3 linked regions of the Notamacropus eugenii genome follow. The protein of the gene in region 3 purifies or fractionates together with the protein of the main gene of each other region. This does not show direct contact. Links are inferred from orthologs where the notes say so. Each region holds a gene or a part of one and is shown on either strand. Other genes may lie near its edges.

Region 1 (7,973 bases), on a different chromosome or scaffold from region 3:
ATCTCACTGAGTTTAGGTCACAGATAGCCCAATACCACCACTTGTCTAATCCTACTGCCCTTTTCAAATTACACTCACCGTTTTAAAGTATAATCTCCCACCATAAGACACTATTGTCTTCACAAGACCCATTATGTTTCCCTATTAGATCTCCTTCATATATATGTGTATGTATGTGTGCATATATATATATATATATATATATATATATATATATATATATATGTATATCTGTTATCTTCAAATATCAGTTGTATAATAACTTTTAAAAGCTTTGGAGTGATAAAACCAGCAGAAAGCAATTATTTTTATTTTATTGGCTATCATTCATTCAGTATTCAGAAGGAATGTAATTTTATAGAGAGTTACTATTTACTTTATTTAGAAAGGGGCATAATGGAAGTATCCTTGGATCAAGGAAGACCTGAACTTGAATCTTGACTGTATACACACTGGCTGTGTTGCCCTGGGTGAGTCGCTTAAATTTTTGGTCCTCCAGGGAACATTTAAAGAGAATGAGTTGCAGAGAAAGTGCTACCTGCATTGGGAGAGGGAATTTCCTCATCTTGGAGTTAACATTTGGTAAGGAAATCACAGGTCCAGTCCTTATTCCCCTCTATGAAGGCACTCAATTAAGAACTATTTGTGGAAATTAGGACTCCAAAGAAGCACTCCCAAAAATTCTCAAGAAGAGATGTGACTAATGATCCTTATATAAATGGGGGTATGGTGTTTCTTGAGGAAGGAGGGTATATCACTGAGGGTCTGAAAGAATGAGAGATTCCAGAAGTCCAGAAGCCAGTAAGAGGCATTCCTTAAGGCTATTACTAATCCAATGCAGTTTCTCCTTCTTTTGAGCCTTGGGTTACTATGGGAGAACCATTATATGAAAGGTTTAAGCATGGGCTTGAATCAGGTGAGGTACAGAATGGTGAGAATCTGAGCCTCCAGCTACCATAAGAACCACCACCTCATACAGACCAGTATAAATAATAATTGTTACTTTATGCTGTAAACAAGGGCACTGTTGCAGAAATTTACAAAGATTTCAAGCTATTAAAACACTACAAAGGTTCTAGAACAAGATTTGCCTTCAGCAATGAGACTCACCTTCCCTCTTTCTCCACCCCAAGCTAGAACAGAAGACAGGATGAAAGGGCAGCAACTGCATAGCTGTATAGGGGTCTAGTCTCATTAGGGACTTTTAAAAACAAGGGTCACGGAACTACAGGTGACCAGAAAACGAAAGTTCCTTTCTGTCTAGAGGAGAAAGCAACTTATCATTTTCATCCTTGATCTAATAAGCATAATTCAATCTGAAACTACATTCATTTGGGGGAAATGACAAATTGGGTCAGTAATATTCTCCTAATGCAAGAGAAAGGGCAAGTTGGTGGAAGAGGGGGTAGGGTTAAAATTAAGCCTGAATCTACGACTGATTCCATTTAGCACAATTTCCCAAATGTGTGTAGATCATAGAAAATTAGGGGTGCAAGGTATCCCCAAATATCAAGGAATTTCAATATGATCTCTTAATCAGAGGTCTGATACCACTTTAGAATTTGATATAAAAGTCCAAACCTCTTCTGCCCTCCTCCCCTCTCTGGTGTGTGATCTCTTCAGGAAAATGGGGTCATGCAACAACAGGATATTTGCACGTATGTGTTGCTTCAACTGCATTTCTCTCTTCAACTTCCGTTGGAGTAGCTGTTTTAAATGCCTTGGTAAAGAAGGTCATATTGAGGAATGTTCTTGGGATCGATTGGACTTTGGACGATGAGTTTTCCCCGCATTGCTCCTCGATAGATTACTTCAACCAAGTCTATGAAGTCCTGCTTAGTCTTGAAGCTTCCCACAAACTTAGTGTGGTCTGGAGACCTAAAGGAAAGGGTGTGAGAAGCAAGAACCCTGTTTGGAAGCACTTCAAACCAGTGGACTGAAAACCTTCTGAAAAATGAAAACGACAAACTACCATCAGGGAGATTTTGGACACAAGCTCAGTGTTGGCCTTGACTGCAAATACGGCTTGGAATAAAATTTGTTAGGGGGCTACTTAGAATAGCAGTTTTGCATTTGATTTAACTCCAAGTCTGATGTAAAAGGGAATGAAAAATTTTCCAATTACATTTCACTGTCCAAAGCATTTACTATACAAAGAGCATGAGTAAGCAGACAGGATCCCTAAAATGACTTGGAGTTATGCTTTTAAAATACGCAATAACAAGATAGACAAACAACTCAACTGCAGCAACAGTCAATTATATTGACTACAAAGATAATGAATTGGAAATAAATGAAAGAGTTTGCATTTTGTATAAGGAGCACTGCTATCAGTTATGTGTTAAGGAAGGATATTTAAATTATAAAATGAGGTGTACTATATTCTTTTGTAAACAGAAATTATTGGTCCTAGAAGTTTAGAAATATTTAAATATTTTAGGTTAAAGAATTCCTCAGTACAAACAAGAGTTACTTATTATCTGTCAGATTCAAAATTCTGATAGTATTTTACAAATTATTCTGTCACTCTATGCTGAAATGTAACCAACTTAATAGGAAGTAGACATTTACCCATGATATTCAGGAAAACTGCTGCTTCTCATAAAAGTGTTAAATTGTACCTTTAGATTTTTTAAGATGCTGTATCCTTCTCTCTTCCAAGGGAAGTGTATACATTATTTTTATAAATATATAAAGGGAAGGTATGTATATATTTTTTATAAATATATATCAGTACATTTTTCATTATTATTATATTATTTAACTGTGAAATGCTTAGCAAAAAGCTAAGGTTTTCAGGAAAAAATTTAAATTTTTCCTTGAAATGAGGAAACTTAGAGAGAGGATACTAATTGGGGAAACACCAGTTTCAAGATTTAATTATTGCAAGATTGACATGTGACAAAAATCATGTTTAAACAAAAGCAAATAAAAGAGTTTTGATAGTGCCAATGTCAATTTCACTTACCCATAATCCACTTTCATATGCTGCCCATTGAAGAAAAAGATAGTAGATGGAATATAACTGATGTCAAAATACTGGGTGTAAATTGGTGTTTGGTCCACATCTACCAGATATATCGCAGCCATTTTACTTAAATCATGATAAGTTTTAGAAAGCTGTGGAATTGAAATAAGATAGAGGTTATAATACAGGAGGAAGCTAATTGTTTTCTGTGATGTGTTTCCGAGTAGTGTGTTAAAAAAACACTGTAGCAAGGATAAATAAAATTTAGTTTTGATGTTAAGCTACATGTAACCTTTCTGTGGGAGAACCTGAAGCTGTTCACATACATTCCTTTTTTCTCAGGGGCAGCTGGTGGCAAAGTAGATGGTGGGCTGGGCCAGGAGTCAAGACAACCCGAGTTCAAATCTGGCCTTAGGCACTTATTAGCTGTGTGACCCTGGGTAAGTAACTTAATCACCGTTTGCCTTTGGTTCTTCAAGTATAAAATGGGTATAACAATAGTACTTTTCTCACAGGGCTGCTGTGAGGATCAAATGATTATCACAGTTGGTTCTTAATAAATGCTTATTCCATCCATCTGCTTTCTCTTCCTGTCTACAATTTACACGTTGATGGTGACAACCAGAAACACTTCCCTCATCCTCTCCTTCCCCTCTCAGGCATCTACTCGGAATGAAATGAGCCAACTGTGTCAATATATTTCCAGAGGTCCAGCAGTGTGGGCAGATATGGGGAGAACTGCACAGATGACAATCATGGCGCACGTTTTTCTGGCCACTACCTTCATGACAATCACTTCACATGTGGATAGTGGGGAATATGCACACACATGTATTACACTTACGTATTGGAATATGTATAATACACAACATGTATCATACATTACAAGTTATATGCTATACGTTACCATATTAATAAGATATTATGTAATACTACATACGTGTGTGTATGTACATGTGTGCATATATCTATCTATATACACATACACATGTATAACCCAGAGAATTCCGTGTAAAACACACTCACGATGTCATCTATCTGCAGACAGACAGGGTCCTCGTCTCTTCCAAATCTGAGCACCAAAACCTTCTCCGCAGTACTCTTTATGGCCTGGTCTACTTCTCTTTTGGAGGCAAGCTTGGGCAGCAGGAGGCTCATCCTGAACCGGGGCAAGCCTTAGTCGCGGCCAGCAGACCAGATCGAGCCGCAGGGTCCGCGCTGCGGGACAGAGGAGGACGTCCGGAGAAGGCGTGGTTCAAGCCCCTTAGTACAGACACACAGACACACGCACGCTCCCTCCGACCCTGGGTCACACGAACCGCTAACCCGGCGGGAACGCCTGCGGACACCCCACATTCAAATTCATACGGTCCCCAAAAGGCCCCGACCACCCGGCCTTGTCACCTCCCTTCACAAAGATCGAAATTTCCGTGGAAGCGCTCGTATAAATAAAAATAGCTCACATTGATGTCACTTAAAGGACTTTCCTGATCCTACAAGAGAAAAGAAATCATTAATGTAATAAAGGCCGCTCGGTGGAGCCACCCCCTGCCGCCAGGAAAGTCAACCTCAGCCCGGCGTCGACGCGGCACCGCCCCGAGCCGCCGTTGCTTAGCAACCCCCGAAAGACAAATTCTAAGGCGGAGGTCATGGGTGAGGAAGCGGAAGACTGCTTTTAACGCGCATGCGCACACAAGCAGCTTCCACCTCGAGTTTCTCGGGGTCGGTGCGCGCTGCGCGCTCAGGTTCCCGGCTGTCTCCGCTTCTCAACTGACGGAAGACACTACTCTTTTCCTCTCACGCACGCCCGACCGGAAATCACCGAGCTTGAATCGCTTCCGTCTGCATTTGCCAATCAGCGGTCCCCCAGTTCTGACGGTACCTCCCAGGGCTGCCTCGCGTCTGGATTCGGGTGCGTACGATTGGCTGTCAGGGAGAGTCGGAAGTCTCTGTGATTGGGGCGTAGCAAGAGGCCGCTCTAGCGCCAGCGTCCCGGTGGCGGGAAGCTTAGTTGTGGCTCAGCTCTATGGTTCTCGGACAGCTCTCGATGGTTCGTGCGGCTGGATAGAGCGGACGGCGCGGGGCTTTGTGGGACGCGAATGGCCGCTTGCGAGACTCCGTTCCACTAGGTTGTGAGCAGACGGATGTGGGGCAAGTAGAGGAGCGGCGGGGCCTCGGAGACCCCCGGGCGGCGTGGTGAGTGATCTCTTCCTCCTCCCCCCAGGATCGGCCCCGCACGGGGCTGCGGACCAGGGGTCGCGTTGGCCCGGGAAGTTGGGGACGCGTCCCGCAGAACCTCCTGCGCGTTTCCGACCCGCCTTTCTTTACCAAGGCAGCCGGCCTGGGAGGGAGAGAGGCCGGGGCCCGAGGCCAGCGGGGTGGCTGTGGGCCGGCAGGGTCACGGCCCTCCCCGCCCCTCCCCAGTTACCCTCGTTTGGACGCGTCTGCTTTGCGTTGAGCCCCCAGAGCTGATCGCAGTGCCAGGCCCTGAGTAGGTGCTTAATAAATGCTTGCCATTGGCTGAGAAAGCACTTAATTAATGCTTGTCGACGTGTTCTCGTGGCATAGTTCCCTTGCTCGAGACCCAGACCCCCACCCCTTATTATTGAATTTACCATTTCATGTATGTTTGAAAAAAATTCCAGTGCCTGGAAAGGACCCTAGAGGGCTTCTGGTCAAACTCATTTTACAGATGAGGAAACTGAGGCCCAGAAGCGTCATGAGGGTTGCTTGAGCTCACGTAGCAGGTTCAGATCCGGCCGTGATGTGAATGCCCGTCTGTGAAATGCCCTTCTGCAGAGCTGTGGGTGTTCACGGGAGCTGAGCCAGTAATTTAGGGGTGTCCCAGGGCCCAGGGTGCAGGGCAGAGCTGGTAACAGCCTGTCAGGCATTCCAAGCAAGCGTGCTCTGTGGAGAGGGTCAGGCAGAGTCAGTTGTGCCAGCTTTACTGGGACACCTTTCTTTGATTCTGAGCCTTTGTTTAAGTGAATTGTCAGGTCACCTGAGTTATCACAGACTGGTACATGCTGAGGGTCACTCTTGTTCTGTAGGTAGCCTCTTTTAGAACACGTATCTGATGAAACGTGGATGATACTGTGCGCTGCAGAAGGATTTGCTGCTGTTAATTTTTTGGATTTTGTGTTAGAAGGGCAGAGGAGGGGAAGAGGCATTCTTTTAGTGCCTGTGGGGAATAGGTCGTGTGTTTATTTTGTTTTAATAAAGCTTATGCTTAGTGAGTCCTCCCTCTCTTGGATAGAGGACAGTCCTTTCGGGGTCTTTTTGTATGTGTGGGTTGGGTCTAGGGATAGGGGTGGGGAACCTACCGGTCTCTAGGTCCTCGGGTGTGGCTTTTTGACTGAGTCCAAGTTTTACAGAACAAATCCTTTTTTTTTTCTGTGAAGTCTGGATTTGATCAAAGGGCCACTTGAGGACCTAGAGGGCTGCATGTGACCTAGAAGGCCACATGTGGTCTAGAGGGCATAAGTTCCCCACCCCTGGTCTAGGCCAAAAGTAATTGAGGAGTGTGTACTCACTACTGAAGCCATTCTAGGGAACTCTAAAGCTCATTTGTTTTCCCTCTTAATGGCTGACGGATGCCGGATGATTTGCCTTTTCAGAGAGTTCCCTAAGCCTGTGATGGAAGACGCCAGTGATGAGGGTGAGGCCTCAATTCATCGGCTAGAAGGCATTGACCAAGAGACACAAGTTGGTGGCCTCATTTGCAAGACCAAAAGTGCTGCTAGTGAGCAACATGTTTTCAAAGCCCCTGCACCTCGTCCCTCGTTGCTGGGGTTAGATCTGCTGGCTGCATTAAAACGGAGGGAACGAGAGGAAAAGGATGATGGGGAAGATAAAAAGAAGTCCAGGGTCTCTTCCTACAAGGACTGGGAGGAAAACAAGGATGAACAGAAGGATTCTGAGGAGGAAGGGGGTGACCAGGCGAGCCGAAGCAGCAGGAGAGACAGGTAAAATCACTTGGGTGGTAGAACGAAAAGGGGATGCACTGGTGGGGGGACACTGTAATAACTTGTCTTTATTCCTTAGTTTTTTTTTGGAAACGTCGTGTCCTCCATGAACACCAATTCTTAAATTATTGTAATGATCACAGAAAATTTGGCATTCTCATCATGCCAGTTGGGGAAAGGGAGACTTTTAAGAATAATTACTAACTAAAGATCAGGTGGAAATGTGGATAGTTAAAGTGAGACTAGAACCCAAATCTCTTCTGACTTGGTCAGTGCTACCTACAAGACTATTCTTCTGGGAAGGTAGCAGGACAAAGGGTGAAATACTTGTTTGGAGCAACCAAGAGCTTTTAGGGACAGAAGTCTCTTAGTGGCAGTTTCCTCTCTCCTCTTGGTTCAGACATTATCGAGCTGCCCGAGTAGAGACACCATCGCATCCTGGTGGTGTGAGTGAAGAGTTCTGGGAGCGCAGCAGACAGAGAGAACGGGAAAGACGGGAACATGGCGTCTACGCCTCCTCCAAAGAAGATAAGGACCGGAAAAAGGAGAGAGCTCGGGATCGAGATTATGACCGGAAGAGAGAGAGAGGTAAAGGCTTTGGCTTCTTCCTGGGAGCAGTGGGGAGGTCTGTCTTCCCTCAGGGGGAGGCTGTGGGCAAACCAATGCTGTGCTTCTACATCAGTGATTACCAACCATCTATTAAGTGCTTCTGTGTGCCAGTCACTATGCTAGTCACTAGGGCTTCAAATAGAATAAAACAATCTCCACTCCCAAGGACTTTACATTCTAACATGTGCCCCACTTTTGGAAGATGAACGGGACAGGAGTCGGCACAGCAGCCGATTGGACCGAGATGGAGGCTCAGAACGGAGCAGCAGGAGGAGTGAACCAGAAAGCCCAAGACATCGACCAAGAGGTAAGCTGGATGGTTAGCATGTTGACATAAGAGCAATCTTCGGGTTTCAACTTTCTAGTCACCTAGAGTATTCTGGCTCCAGATTTCTGGGGCAATAGAGTTTAGGTCTAAGGTGCTTTTTAAA
Region 2 (7,995 bases), on a different chromosome or scaffold from region 3:
CCAAAAAGCTTAAATGATTCTAGAATGATGGGGATCATGGAGAGGATCAGGAATGAACTAGAGAAAGAAGCAAAGGATGTCCACTGGTTGATCTGGGAGGGAGTTTCTTCCAAGCATGGAAGATGGCATTTGAGTAAAGTCATAGAATATTGGCAAGATGTATGGGATAAAGAACTGTGAGTGATTGGAGGATAGAATGCCTGAAGGGGCATGCTTTGAGATTAGAACTGGAAAGATAGATGAGGGCCAGACTGTGGAAGGTCTTGAATAGTAGGTAAAGAATCTTTCTTATTATTCAATAGGTAATATTTAATAGGCAACTCCTGAAGATTTTTGAAGAGGACAGTGATGTAATCAGGCCTGAGCATTAGAAAGATTGCTTTGTGAGTGTTATGAAGGATGAATTGAAAGGGAGAGAGAATGTGACAATCAACAAATGTGGTGGTTGTTACAAAAGTTCCAATGACAGGCAACAAGACCCTACACTAGGGTGCTGGTATTAAAAAGGGAAAAGAAGGATGAGATGTCAGAGATTTTGCGGAAGTATAATCAAGCCTTAGGGACTAGGGAAATGATGATGCTATTAACAGAAGCAGGGAAGCTAGGATTAGCCTCAATGGGAAATTACCATTGACACGCAACATGGAACCATGGATAGGGTCCTTGATCTGGAGTCAAGAAGACCTGGTTTTAACTCTTGCACTGGAAACTTTTGAGTTATATGGTCATAGGTCATGTCACTCGACCTCCCTGTGTCTCAGTTTCTTCGTCTGAAAAATTAGGAGATTGGATTAGCCGACTTCCAAAGTCCTTTTAACCCTGTATTTATGATCTCATTGCTTGCAAGTATGAGCTCAAAAAATAAAAAATTCTTGTCCTTTGCCTAGTATTGCCTAGGCTACCCAGAGAAACAGGAGGTACTCTAGAGTCTCAATGACATCAGCCTGGAGAAGTTTGGTGCAGAGAACACTAGAGGGCGGTGCCTCCTTGGACTGGTGAAGTGGAACATTGGGTTACTGTAATATACCTGTTACAGAACATATTTGTGATTTCCCCTCCTTTTAAAAACAACAACAACAATAAACAAACTTTCTTTTGATGTATTGTGGCCAGCTTGCAAGTGGGAATTGGTGTCAATGACCAATCTTCAATGGAGAGATTCTTCAGGCGGGAAACTGATTCAAGAAGAATGTGGGACCTCCTCAAATAAGTAGATCCAGTTCTTTGACTAGAAGAAGGCCTTTGCCAGGACAGAGTGGCAGACTCATCTTCCTGAGTTCAAATCTGGCCTCAGACACTTACTAGTTGTGTGACTTTGCAAATCACTTAACCCTGTTTGCCTCAGTTTCTTCTTCTGTAAAATGACCTGGAGAAGGAAATAGCAAACCACTCCAGTATCTTTGCCAAGAAAACCCAAAATGAGATCATCAAGAGTTTAACATGATTGAAAACAACTGAATAAAATCAAGCCAATACATCCATGTGGGTATCCTTCCCATAAAGATCATAACTTATCCATGCCTGCCTACCTTGTATGACCTCTGTCCCCATCATCCCATAAATTCATATGTTTTTAATTTTTTCACTAGAGCTGCTAAGCATGCCAAAAGGTTCTGAGGTATTGTTGGACATAAGTCATTATCCTCTTCTTGAGTGATATGATTTCTTCTGAAAATGTAACAACTCCAGGCTTACCCAGCTCATAACCTAGCCACTCATCCACCTGCCCTGTATTACATATTAGCCATAATTCAGGAGATTCCCTCTCTTCTGCCCCCACTTTATCTTTTCCACCCCTTGCTCCCCCACTCAGATAGACCTCATTAAGAGCTTACCATATGGTAGGCAACTCCTAAATTTTCACCAAATTTCAATTTTACATGCTTCATGTTTTTAAACCCACAAGACATTTCCACAATCCAATCAAGAATTCTATATTTTATAGAAATATAAATTACTCCAAGTTCAATGCCTTAGGCATTCTTGGTTGGATTGCAATTATAGTGAACAGAGCCTCGATCTTTGGAGGAAGTTTGTATTGCTGGGTACAAGTATGTTCAAATCCTGTACCTTCCAGTTCTAGGCTATAATGAATGACCTTTGATTCTGTGAAACCCCACCATCAATCCCCACACACCCTAGTCAGTAAACACTGCCTAATTAGTCGGGGATTCCTTATCTGGGCTTACCACTACATTATGTATGATATAAAACAAATGAACCTCACCTAACTCTCATTCACTTGGAGCTATCCTACCAGATAGAATGAGGACGAGGAAAAGAATATATGAGTAGATATAAGAGCAGTAACGTTCAACATTGAAAGCTTAAGGAGCTTTTACAATTTTTTTAGCTTAGATAAAAGACAGTTTGGGAGGGGCATGATTTTTGTCTTCAAACATTTGAATATTTGTAATATGAGAAAAGAGATTTAGTCTGTGTTGCTTATGGAATTTTAAGGCAGATTGTGGTGCAACATAAGAATGAACAGTCTAACAGTTAAACCTGTCTAACAATATAATAGGCTCTGTAAGAGATGAACTGAACTTATGTAATATCTGTAACACCAGTGATAATCATTTAATATCATTTTGAATTCTCAATAAGGGTCGGAGCCTGGACTAATCAACCAGAAGAAGAACCTGGACCTAACAGCTTCTTTGTTCTCTGAGTAAACTCAGAGAATACTTCTTCCTATGTCAACAAGGCCAGATGGGGCTGACTTAAGAACAGCCATTTTTTCTGTTTATGACCATTAACGATGAGACCCTTAACCTGAGATGCTATCTTGGATAACGGGACTTTTTCTTAGTATCTTATGGACCCATACTATGTTATATAGCATGTCAATGGTAAAGAAAATGCAGATATCCTGGGTTGTAATTTCAATGGACACTTTGTCAACTCTTTTATCTTATTGTGTTTACCACCTATTCAATTAAGATATCACCTAGCCTGTTTGCCTCTTTAACCAAATTTTCAAGTCAGCCAGAAAGACTGTACATCAATTAAGGCCATTCCTTTGAAAGAATTTATGACTTGCCAAAATATAAAGGAAATGAGAATGTGGTGATGGGGGGTTGAAATGTGAAGTGTAATCAGAGGTGGAGTTTTAAGTATCATGGGATAGACTGGGAACCCAGCTACTGCCAACCAATGGGAGCAAGGGAGAGAAATGGGAATTGGGGTGAGGTATAAATATTGTATATTTGCCTTAAACAAGTGTGCCTATGTTTAGATTACCTGCTCTTGAAAGGACAAAATAAAATGCCTTCCCGGGTTTATCAGTTACTGTCTTATTCTTTTGCAAGCAACATGCCTCACAGCTCTGTTAATGGATAAGGAGTTCATTATTACTGAAGGAGCTAAAAAAAGAGTTTGGGTGACTAGGTCATCTTTCAGGAATAGTGTTAAAAGGAATGCATGTGTTTGCATGGGAATTTGGGCCAGATATCTAAACTACCTTTGAGTATTCCAATATTCCATGGTTCTGTAGCCACATAGATTTGCTGCGTACTTGTGCAGCCTAATTATCTGTACCACAACCTCTACCTCTCATTGCTACTGGCTCATTTATCTGTTAATTGTCTTTCTGGGTTCCCAAGAAAAGTAGGTTGTGGATATCTCAAAGATGACTATTATTACAGTTTTTTTTTTTTTAAATAATTGGTTTGCTTCCCATCTCACTCTGAGCTGAGGAAAATCTCTCTCTTTTGAGTTGGCTCCCCTCCTTCAATTCCAAAGTATGCACTTAATGACTTGGACTAAAAATCAATGTAAATGACTATCCACTTTAAAAGCAGTTCCAACTAGCATATGATTCAAATAAACATTCCTTCGATTAATAGGCTATAATATTGCAATGGGAGAACTGAATCTTTTCCCCTTTACCTATACTCTCCCTCCTAACTGTACAAGGGGAAATGGGAGGATAAGTAGTTGGACTGATAGCCTGGGACTCCTCCCAGGCAATGCTTCAGAGGGGTAAAGAGAAAAGTGCTTCGGACTAGGTTCCAGTGGTCTGTCCAATTCACCCAAGTTTGTTGAACCAACCATCTTTTCCAACTTTGGTCCACCCTCAGCCACCCCATGAGGTGTCAACTTCACTTCTTTACCCTGCTTTTTATGATGGGCAATGCTCTTTCCTGGCCATTCCCTGACGTTTCAGTGGAAGAGGAGGGGTGGACCGGCTCTGCCCACAGACCCTCTTTGGTATTTCCTCCTAGAGTTCCTCTGCATTCTGGTCTTGTGACTTCTGGGCATAAGAAAATTCTAAATCCCCCAGGAACTTAGTAAACTGGATAAAATCCATGTGTTTTTGTGTCTAAGCAACACCCTTCGCCCCACCGACCCTCCACGGCAGTATTCCTAGGGGGAAGGCTCGAGGCCACCTCTCCCTATGGAGGATGCTACAGGCTTACTTATGGGAGAATCAGGATGACGTAATCGCGTGTGAAAGTTTTGTTACTTTGTTTCATTAGGTTAACCACGTGCTTAAGAGGAACCTCTCTGGATTGTCCGCATAATCAGAGCCGTGGGCATCTTCCAAAAAGACGAAGTCAGCTTCAGCCTCGCCTGGCCTTCGCTCCTTCCCTCCGGGCATCCAGGGAGATGCCAGGCTGTAGAGGGGCAGTCCTTGGGGGCTTCTACCCCTCTGGACCCTGACAAAGGGACGGAGCCTGATTTCCATCCTGGGCCTGGAGAACAAACGGACCTCGGAACGTTCCTCTGGGAAGTTAAGGGGAAGCTTCCGTAGATCACATTTTATAGGAAACAAACAAACAAACAAAAAAAGGAAAGTGATGGGTAGGGAAATTGCACCAATGAAAACCCAGCACCTCAGGCTACTTCTTGAGCCCCGCCCCCCGCCTGCGGAAAGGCTGGCGATGACATCATCCCATGATGCCACCAAGTCCGCGCCCGCTCCCCGGGTCCAGGCCACGCCTCTCGACTCCCCCAGCCCCGCCCCTCCTTCCTTTTCCTAGGACTTCCGGCGCGTCGCAGCCTCGTCGCGCAGGCAACCTGCTCCCGGAAGCGGAAGGAGAAGGCGGGGGCAGGCGGGCCGGCAGGAAGGCGGGAGGAGCAAGGGGCCCAGGCAGTGGGCTGGGCTGGGCCGGGCCGGGGAGCGGAGCGGGGCGGGGCGGGGCCGGGGATGGTAACGGCTCGGGGGAGGAGGGGGAGGTGGGGGCGGGGGAGAAGGGAGGCCGCCGCGGCTCGCGCTGGTTCCGCGCCACCACCGTGGCCATGATGATCCACGGCTTCCAGAGCAGTCGCCGGGACTTCTCCTTCGGGCCGTGGAAGCTGACGGCGGCCAAGACGCACATCATGAAGTCGGCCGATGTGGAGAAGTGAGGTTTGGGGAGGGCGGGGGAGGAGAGGTCGAGGCCGGGCGGCCGGGCGCGGGCGCGGGCGCGGGCATGAGCAGCACTGGGGAGGGGCGGTCGCTCTCGGGGCCGCTCCCCGCCCCCGCGGGACCTCGAGGCCTCCCTCGGGCGGCTGCAGAACTGCCGGCGGGGCCCTGCCCTGGACGCTCCGAGTGCGCGTGCGCGGCCGCGGTTTGACGGACTCTGGGCCGCGCTCCTGCCCCCGCCCCCTCCCGCTGCCCCCTGGCCCTGGAGTCTGGGGCGGGCTAAGTCCGCGTGGGTCCGGGAAGGAGCGCCGGACCTCTGTAAGTGCAGGGGCTTGGGTCACATGTCGTCTGGACTGTAGACCAGAGGCCAGACGGCAAAGCTCGGCATCTTCCAGCTCTGCATCCCCAATCCACAGAAAACCCGGATTCTTGTCCAGCCCCTGAGCCTGAGTAGCCTTGCTACATGGGGCCAGTTATTTAGGACTGTAGATTAGGAGGTGCTCATTTGCATTGGGGAGAAGGAGTTTTCTCTGGAAGCTCCCTCCCCCAGGAGCCCCAAACACCACCACAAACACTAACCAAAACCAAACTTTATTCTTGGGTAGTATTTCTAGGCTGGTGGTTTCAGGCTACTGTTTTAGACTATAAATGAGGAGTTGTCTGTGTACATTGGTAGGGAGAGTTCTCCACAGTGAAAGAAAGCGCAGGCTCTGACCCAGAACAAAAGGATGCATAAAAAAATACCAACTCAAAACAGACATTTTTCGTAGAGAGCATCTCTTACGTTGTCATTATCCACATGCTGCTTTTGACGCTAATCATTCAGTCTGTCAGTGTTACTGTTGGGAATGTAAACTAGGAGTTGAGTTGTTGGAGTAAGTTTTCACACTGGGAGTTCCATGTACTAACAAAATTAACCTGCTCCCCCTTCCAAAAATGCCCCAGAACAACCAACACAAATTTTATTCCTAGGCAGTGATTTCTGCATACTTGTACAATTGGCAATGTTGAGAATACATCTCACCAGACATGAAATGGGAGGTGGTACCCTTATTTCTAGGTAATTATAAGTAGCCAGCCCTCCAACTGGTTTCTTAAAACAAATCTCAGCGTATTCTGAAAGTGAAGTGGACTTTCTTCCTCACATTTTCCCTTAGAATATTTCATTTTTCTCCCGTCTTGACTTCTGCCTGCTTGGCTCAAGTGGATATCAATTGAGGAAATGATGGTAGGTGGGAACGTAAGGGATAACAGATAACTCACATCTTCTGGTGATATGTTGAAGATGTAAAAAGATCTGTATCATATAATAGGGCTCTTCTCTGGAGGATCTGTTGAAGACAATGGATAAGAATTGCATAGGATGAAAAGCCTGAGTGCATTTTGGTTCATACCATGAAGGTTCATACCATATCCATGGAATTACAGATTTATTGAAGTATTGAAATACACAACAGATTCCCCTGCACATGGAGTAGGGTGTTGTTTTTTTTTTTTATTTCTAGCACCCATCACAGTGTCTTGTAATATAATAGAGGCTTTATTAAATGGTAATTGAATTGCGTTTCCTTGCCCTCCTAAATACTGAGGCAGCTTTTGACAGGTTATAGTTTGGTATTGATTAGATATGTTTGGGATAAGATTTAGAGAAATTGTAAGAAGGACAATTTTGAATTTTGTGACATATAAAAAGTCTAAGGGACATATAAAAGGGTCAGTTGCACTCTTAGTTGCCAAAGACCTCTCATAGAACCCACTCAATGCTTACATGCCCCTAGAAGAAGAGTTAGGTGCTGCTAAGGCTGGAAACCAACTCTTGATTGGTTTAATGAATTAATACTATAATAAGAGTCAGTTAATTGGAACGAGGGGCTGGCGGATGTCACTCAATCTTGGACAGATCTCTTATCTGGACTACCTCCACCTAGGGCAATCAGACTTGACTGACTAAAACACTGTGGGCCAGATTTTACTGGATTAGAATCTCTTCACCTTTTGATCAGATCTGAGTTTTCCCAGTGGATGTGTCTGTTCAAGACTTCATCTCTTTATCAGTCCTGCCCTTTAAAACTGATTGAATGACCTACAGGGAATGATGAAATAGATTGGTTATTAATATGAGAGAGAAATATTCATTTCTCTCAATTGTAATAGTCAGGGACTCTTGGACAGTTTTTATATAGGAATATATCCTTGGGTACAGTAGCAGTTCAGTGACTTCAGCCATCACGAATGCAACATAGGACTCTTTTTAGAGACATCCTCTGAGAATCCAAAATAGTTATCATAGAGCTTATTCTCTAAAGTGGTTCTCAAACCCTTTTATACTCTTATTAAAGATTATTGAGGACCTTCCTCCAGTAGCTTTTGTTTATGTGAGTTGATGCTATTGATACTTGCCATAATAGTTACTGAGCTAACATTGTATGCCAGGCACTGTGCTAAGCTCTGGGGATATAACAAAAGGTCTACAAAACAAAACAAAAACAGTTCCTGCTCCCAAAGAACTCACACTGTAATCAGGTGGACAACACGCAAACAGCTATTTTCAATTAAGATATATACAGAATAAATTGGGTCTCACATGAAGGGCTAAGAGAGACTTTTGCAGAAGGTGGGGCTTTAGCTGAGAATTGAAGGAAGCA
Region 3 (7,356 bases):
TTTGAATTCTAACCCTGCTATGTCTTCTCCATGTGACTTTGGGCAAATTATTTCACCTCTCTGAGACTCAGTTTCTTTATCTGCAAAAAAAGGAGTGGCGGGAGATTATGGATTAGATTATCTCAGGGGTCTCTTCCAGTTCTAAATGCTATTCTCTAACAACGTTCCCCATTTTAAGTGCTCCCTGGTTGGGTGGGTGTGGGTAATAATGGAAATTGGTCCCCTATTTGTACAAGATATTGCTTACTATATATATGCAAGTTAGGCTGGGAAATCTTCAAGGTAGTCATTGGTAATGAGAAATACTTTGTGGAGAGTTAATGAAAAATCAAAGATTAGACTTATCAGTTTGGGTAAAAATTTCAGTGTAGGCATTATGTTAGCACTTCTCAATTGTCCTGTACTTCTCTCCTGCCATTCCTCCATCATTCTTCTTTTCAAATTACCTCTTATTTATTTTGCTTATGTCTTGTTTATAGTGTTGTTTCCCCAGAAAGAATATAAGCAACTTGTGGGAAGGGATCCTTTTATTTTTGTCTTTACATTCCTGATACCTAGTTGAGTCCCTGGCACATAGTTTTGTTTGTTTGCGTTTGTCCTTTGTTGCCAAAAAAGACCATGCCATCAGATAAATGATGACATGACTTGCACTTGCCTTTGTTTTGAGTGAGGGAGGGCTGTGCAGGTCACCAGCCTCACTTCTCCTCCAGAGCCATCTGAATCCAGTGACCAGATATTCATCGGGATGACTGAAGATGGCCCAGGATGCACTGGGAGACCTTGGGCCCTTTAGGACAAGGTCTTTGTAGGTGCTCACTTAGGATGAGGCAATGCCCATTTATGGAATAGACCTGTTTAAGAAGTAGCCAGGGCATGGACCCTTTAATGAGGCCAAGAAAAGACATCAGGCTGGGAGGGAAACAGCAATAGTTACTATTGATAATCACTATAAAGCTAGGAGGGTCCAGTGGAGCCCTTAGGCAGGGGCCCACTGGTGTCCCAGCTTCAGAGTGTAACAGGTTTAAGGTTTTGGGAGAGGACAGAAGAGGGGAAGGGAGAGGAAGGGGAGGGGGGAGAGGAGGGGAGGGGAGGGAAGGAGCCAGTAAAACCCAAGTCAACTTGGGCATCTTTTGGCCACCCAAATTTACCTTCCTTTGGAGAGGAGAAGGAAGGGGAGGGGGAGGCAGACAGGAGAGGAGGAGTTAAGTTATCCAACTAGCTGAGTCCTCATTCAGCCGGTTGCAGTTACACAAGATGAATGTAAGGGAGTATATGTATGTCTAACTCTAGGATACATATGATTGGTCAGAAAGTAGTAAATGTCATTATGACCCAGTACACAGCTAGTTCAGTCACTACACAGCTGGTTCAAACTAATAAATTCTGTAAGTGCAACTGGCTGCTGTAGCAGGAAGGGAGGTAACAGTTTTTGCTGAGGTAGGTTGTTCTTGGGCTAGGAAGAAACTGACTGGGATAGTGTTTTGAGACTAGGGAGAAATGTGATTTTTGAGAAAAATGTGATTTTAGAATTGGGGTTCAAGCACAGGCATCCAGACATTATCATAGGCACTGGGTTAATTTAGCACACTCTTTTGTAAAGAATGCATTAACAGATAACTACTAAGCTAGGATGCAATTTTCATAGCAATTAATATAAACTTACAGTTAAAAATAATTCTGATTTGCCTGGGATCAAATATAGCATTTTTTTTTGTCTTTACCACCACAAAAAATCTAATTAAGTGCCTACTATGTGCCAGATACTGTGCTAAGTGCTGGGGATACCAAAGAAATAAAAAACAAACAGTTCTTGCTTTCAAGGAGCTCACAGTCTAATGGAAGAGAAAAACATGCAAACAACTCTATATACAAACTAGATATATACAGAACAAAGTGGAGATTATCCACAAAGGGAAGGCACTAGTGTTGAGAAGAATCAGGAAATGCTTGTAAAATGATTGATGGTAAGAATTATAGCATTGAAGAGACTCTTCTATGGTTTGGTTTGTGTGTTCTCTATGCCTATTGGACTGAGTGGGATTTTAGATAAATCTTTACCTTTCTAAGGAATATTAGTGTAGTATAGACACAAGAGACCAACTATATGCCTCCGATTTTTGCCTACGTGAGAAGGAAGTCTGTTGCCCCAGAAAATTTCCTTCAGGAAAGCACGAAGTGCATTGACTGTCATCTGAGGTCTAGGGCAGATGCACATTCTTAGTCTCTGCCATGTGGCGATGTCAGCATAAGGGACTGAGCTATACCATGCTTCCCCACCAACAGCCATGTTGATGAGGTTATGAGTCTGAACCCACACCAAAATGAATCTTTGGAAGAAGACTTCAGTGGAGGGAGATCTCTGTGATCCTGAATTCAAATCCAGTCTGAAATACACACTAGGTGTGTCACCTTAGGGAAGTTACTTAACCTCTGTCTGCCTTGGTTTCTTCATCTGTAAAATGGGGATAATAATAGCACCTACCTCTTAGGGCTGTTGAGAGGATCAAATGAGATAATATTTGTACAAAGTGTGCCTGGCACATAGCCAGTGCTATATAAATGTTAGCTATTATTGTATTATTTTTATTTCTGTTAAATATTTCATCTAATTAAACCATTATAAAGCCCTCCTGTGGAAGAGCTCTGTCTTGGCCATCTTTATTATCCCCCTCAGTGCCTAGCCCAGTGGTTTGGAAGGGTCTCCCTCAAATCTAATTCACTTGCAAGTCAAGACATCAAGACATCTGATGTCACAAGAACAAAGGATCAGCAACTGTAACAAAAAGGTGTCTATCCTTTGTCATCCTGGGTCCTGAAGATCCGCTCAGGAAATAATGGAGGCGCTGGGTAAAGAGGAGGCACTCAATAAATGTTATAGTGTTATAGCGTCTCTAGAATTCTTCCACAGTATTGTCCTTCACACACATCAAGTTCCAGCCAGATTGGTTTGCTTGTTGTTGTTCCCAATGAAGTCTCCAAGTTATAAAATATCTATTGATATGGGCTCAGAGGATACACTTTTTAAAATCAGTGTTATCAGTCTTCACAAATGACCCTAGGAGGTAGGGGCTTTACAGTGGAGGAAACTGAGGCAAGGGGCGTTAAGTGACTTGTCCAAGCAAGCTTCCTATCCTCTCTAAGCCAAATGGGAATACTCCTACCGCTTCCCTCCACTGTGTGGAGAATCCTAGCAGACAGACTGAGTAAGGTGCTTGCAGATCTGGATACACTAAATGAGTTATTATTAGTTCTGGCTCCTCGCGGGACGTCCTCAGTTTCAGGAAACCAGTTCTAGCATCAGGTTTGCATCCGAGGTGCGGTCCGTAGGTCAGACGAGGGAGCTGGACCAGATTGCTGCAGCCCCAGCTCCTAGAAGTGTGGACGGCGGGAGGCAGGAGGATGGAGCCAGCAGCCGGAGGTCCCACTAGGGAGATTTGAACGTGGGTGCCCTTCCTGGAGGCTCCACCTCTGAGACTGTGATAGCGCACAAGGGCACTTAGTGTTTACGGAAAGAAGGAAGGAGGGAAGGAGGGAAAGAAGGAAGGAAGGAAGGAAGGAAGGAAGGAAGGAAGGAAGGAAGGAGGGAAGGAGGGAAGGAAGAAGGAAGGAAGGAAGGAGGGAAGGAGGGAAGGAGGGAAGGAAGAAAGGAAGGAAGGAGGGAAGGAGGGAAGGAAGGAAGGAAGGAAGGAGGGAAGGAGGGAAGGAAGGAAGGAAGGAAGGAGGGAAGGAGGGAAGGAAGGAAGGAAGGAGGGAAGGAGGGAAGGAAGAAGGAAGGAACGAAGAAGGAAGGAAGGAAGGAAGGAAGGAAGGAAGGAAGGAGGGAAGGAAGGAAGGGTGGGGCTAGTCCAAAATCCCGACATTGGATGGATGGGGAAATTGTGGCAAGGAACGTAACCACATGGTTAGGCAGCAATCCCCGATCAGCATTTATTAAGCACCTACTATGTGCCTGGCACTGTACTGCAGGCCAAAGACAGCGCTGGCCCTCGAGGGGCTCACACTCGATTGGATCAGAGGTGGGATCTGAACCCAGGATTTCTGCCCCCAGACCCGGTGCTCTTCCTCCCGCGGTTCCCCTCCTGGGCCTCAGTTTCCCCAGGTGTCCAACCCAATCGCGGGCGGGGGCGGGAATCCAGGCTACACGTGCCCAGCAGCTGCCGGCGCTCGCAGCCTGGCTCTGGGCCGGGGGGGCGGGGCCTTGGCGCGGAGGCCCCGCCTCCCAGGTGTGCTTCCGGCCGGCCCGGGGCCCTGGCCCCGCCCAGAGCCTGTGGGGGCGCGCCGGGGCGCGGGGCCGCGCTGGGCGGCGGCGGGGACGAGGACGGCGGCCCGGGGAGCGTGCGCGCGGTGACGTGCCGGGCGCCATGTTGGGGAGCTGATTGTGGGCGCTCGGGAGGTGCTCCGTCGCTCGCTCGCTCCTCTCGCTGCCGGTGCCACCGTCGCCTCCGTGTGTGTGCGTGTGTGCGCGTGGGGGTGTGCGGTGTGTGTGTTCGAGAGGGCGAGTGTGCGGGCGTGTGTGTGCGTGAGAGAGAGGGGGCCGGGACGGCGCGAGTGTGCGCGCGTGTGCCTGCGTGTGTGCGGCCTGCGTGGGGGCGCGCGTGTGAGGGCGGCGGGGGGGCGGCGGCGTTCCGGGCCCGGGGACTCGGGACTCCGCGGAAGGAGGCGGCGGCGGCGGCGGCCGGGGACGCGGGCCACCATGGACATGGAGAGACTGCAGGAGGCGCTCAAAGGTGGGGGCCGGGGGAGGGGGCTCCGGGCGCCGACCCCCCCTCCCGCCGGGCCCCGGGGGCAGCCCCGCCCCGCCGGGAGCTTTGTGCCGGGAGCCGTCGGGGCTGGGGGGGCGCCGCACCTCTCCCTCCCCTCCCCCCCGAAACCCGGGCTGGGGGGAGGAGGAAGAAAGAAAAAAAAAGGGAAACCGGAGCCGTCCCCGCCCCCCACTTGTTGGCCTCCTCGCGGACGGACGGACGGGCGGCCGGGAAGTTTTCGGACGGCCCGGCCCGGCCCGGGGTGCCCTGGGGCCGGGGGTTCGCGCGTTCCAAGCCGCAGGCTGGGGGTTCGGGTTGCCAGGGAGAGGCTCCCCGGGCTGGGGAGGGGGCGGCCCCCGGGTCCGTCCTGGGGTGCTGTTTGCCCCTGGCTTTCCTGCTTCCCTTGAATGACAGGGGGACGGACTCGGGGAAAGTTTCCGATTGGAAGGAGCCTGGGGTGGGGGGACGACGGGGGCGGCCCCGGGCTTGCGGGGGTCGCGGAGACCGGGGGTCGCGGCCTTGTAACCGGTCCTTTTCTGTCTCCATCCCCTGCCCAGACTTTGAGAAGAGGGGGAAGAAGGAAGTGTGTCCGGTGCTGGATCAGTTTCTTTGTCACGTCGCCAAGACCGGGGAGACGATGTGAGTTCAAGAACTTTATTTTAGGGGCTAGAGGAGGGCTCGTGGTCCGAGGCTGTGCTGGAGTTAGTGCGAGAGTTCAACACCGGCCAGACCTGGACAGCTAGGCTCCCAAGTCCGCTGGCGTGGAGCGGCCCGTCCTGGGAAGCCTGGCCGAGCTGTCATCCCTGCGAAGCGTCTTTGTAACGTTCCTCATTCTTTCCTTTAGGAGCCGGGCTCTTGTTCGCTGCCTCGTGTCCCGTTTGTTTGGGGTTAGCCTGGGAGACCCTGGCCCCAGGAGTCTGGGGAAGAGTTGGTTAGACTCGTACTTTGTGGTCCTGAGCCTGAGACTTCACTCCTCAGTGCCCGGGGCACTTTCCTTTGAATTGGCCGGGGTGTCTTGGTGGGGCTTCCAGAGGTTCTACTTGAGGAATTCCTTGTACTGATGATTCAATCCGAGGTCCTGAAACAAGTGTGCATCAGTGAAAAGGAAGAAATGCCCTCGCGTTCTTTTGGTCGTAATGGGAAGAAACCATTTCTTTTCATTTTGTAATTAAATTGTCTTTTGTAGGTAACATTTTCTTCAAACTGGTGTCTGATCTGGTGTAATGTTGTTAAGTGTGAAGCCCCGTATCTGTTGGTTTTTATTTTTCTTGGGTTAGGGAAAGAGGCAGATATTTTATTAGTGACATTTGCTCCTGTTTTCATGTGTCCTAGAAACTTTTTAGGATAACTGACTTGTTACACTCAGCATTTTATTGGACACTTGACCTGAAAGTCACCTTCATTTTAAGAGTTGGAGGATGTTTTTATCCATATCATGTGTAGATGTTGGTGTGTGTCACAAGGATTTGTTTTTGTGCTCTACCTAGGTTAATCTCTGGAAAGCTGAGCTGCATTGATGACTTCCTTGTTGTCTCAGTTTTTGGCAGGAAGGGGAAAGGTTTCTTTGGGTGCCATGCTAGGGAATAAGCTCTCTTTCTGGCTCCTTACTCAACTCTTGATTTGAGGCCTAGTACAAGATTATAAGCTTCAGCAAGTGATAGGTTCTTATTTTTATCAAGTATTGAATTCATACAGGATTTGTTCGTACTTGTATACTGTATCATTAACAAGTTTAATCTCAAAGAGAAAAACAGAACTTTAATGCTTAAACTAATGAACCTGTTCTAAAAGGTTTTTAACCTTTCCAGAATTCTGCTAAAAATGTACCAGTGAGTTGAAAGGTGACTGTCCATTTAGAAAAAATGCAGCTTGAGAAAGATATTTGCCTTAAATGCTATAATGTTGGGCTGTGTATGTACTGTAATTTTGAGAAATGATGAAAAGTAAATATACAGTAGGTACGTTATTTTACTATTTAGTTGAAGACAAGCCTAAAAATTATTAAAGTTTTGTTTGCTTAAGTACATTGATTTCTAGAATATCACTTATACAGGCTCACATTTTTAATCCTTATAGTTTGACTGATCAGTTAAGCCAAACATCTTTATCTCAGCAGGACATTTCAAAGGAAAGCAGTGGCATTGTTCATGGTCCCAAAACTTCTGAAGCTTTCCAATAGATAATTACTACTAATACCATCTGTGAGTAAATATATAAGGAGACCAATAAACCTGTCTGAATGATAAGATGGTGTTATACCTAGTTTTAGGATTTTTTAATTTATAAATATGGTAAAGAAGCCAATAGGCAGTTCTTTGAAAATTTCTTTTACTGACTCACTATTTGAATATGTCTATTTATTTGGAAATTATTTTTTATCCCTATTAGGGAATTTAAATGAATTTAGTTACCACAGTAAATATTTGTGAAATATCAACATCTGGAGTTAAAACAATCAGTATTTAAAGCTATTCATTCTGAGATTGTGGAACATTTTGTTTTCTTACCACACAACCAAGACATGTTTATGCTTTTTGCTTAGCATTTAATTTTTTCCCAGAATGGGTATGGATTAACTTTTAGTAGTGAAAGAGAAACTAAAATATTTGTATAC

Evidence for each region. The genes of interacting proteins can lie anywhere in the genome.
Region 1: the proteins of PPP4R2 (region 3) and DHX38 purify together in Homo sapiens (affinity purification with mass spectrometry; 3 studies listed by BioGRID and IntAct, counting the BioPlex papers as one, with this or other methods). This does not show direct contact. The link is inferred for Notamacropus eugenii from reciprocal best matches to the Homo sapiens genes PPP4R2 and DHX38.
Region 2: the proteins of PPP4R2 (region 3) and TIPRL purify together in Homo sapiens (affinity purification with mass spectrometry; 5 studies listed by BioGRID and IntAct, counting the BioPlex papers as one, with this or other methods). This does not show direct contact. The link is inferred for Notamacropus eugenii from reciprocal best matches to the Homo sapiens genes PPP4R2 and TIPRL.

Annotation. Positions count from the first base shown.
Region 1 is NC_092872.1:711,877,461-711,885,433, reverse strand, and holds the start of DHX38 (pre-mRNA-splicing factor ATP-dependent RNA helicase PRP16), read left to right. Parts: upstream 1-4,957; 5' UTR 4,958-5,164; intron 5,165-6,585; 5' UTR 6,586-6,604; coding exon 6,605-6,933; intron 6,934-7,333; coding exon 7,334-7,521; intron 7,522-7,744; coding exon 7,745-7,849; intron 7,850-7,973. Other genes in the region: TXNL4B (thioredoxin-like protein 4B), read right to left, coding at 1,713-1,878, 2,969-3,120, 3,995-4,126. UniProt on the Homo sapiens protein: Probable ATP-binding RNA helicase. Involved in pre-mRNA splicing as component of the spliceosome.
Region 2 is NC_092873.1:478,322,555-478,330,549, reverse strand, and holds the start of TIPRL (TIP41-like protein), read left to right. Parts: upstream 1-4,979; 5' UTR 4,980-5,244; coding exon 5,245-5,348; intron 5,349-7,995. UniProt on the Homo sapiens protein: May be a allosteric regulator of serine/threonine-protein phosphatase 2A (PP2A). Isoform 1 inhibits catalytic activity of the PP2A(D) core complex in vitro. The PP2A(C):TIPRL complex does not show phosphatase activity.
Region 3 is NC_092874.1:450,208,388-450,215,743, reverse strand, and holds the start of PPP4R2 (serine/threonine-protein phosphatase 4 regulatory subunit 2), read left to right. Parts: upstream 1-4,349; 5' UTR 4,350-4,693; coding exon 4,694-4,727; intron 4,728-5,299; coding exon 5,300-5,381; intron 5,382-7,356. UniProt on the Homo sapiens protein: Regulatory subunit of serine/threonine-protein phosphatase 4 (PP4). May regulate the activity of PPP4C at centrosomal microtubule organizing centers.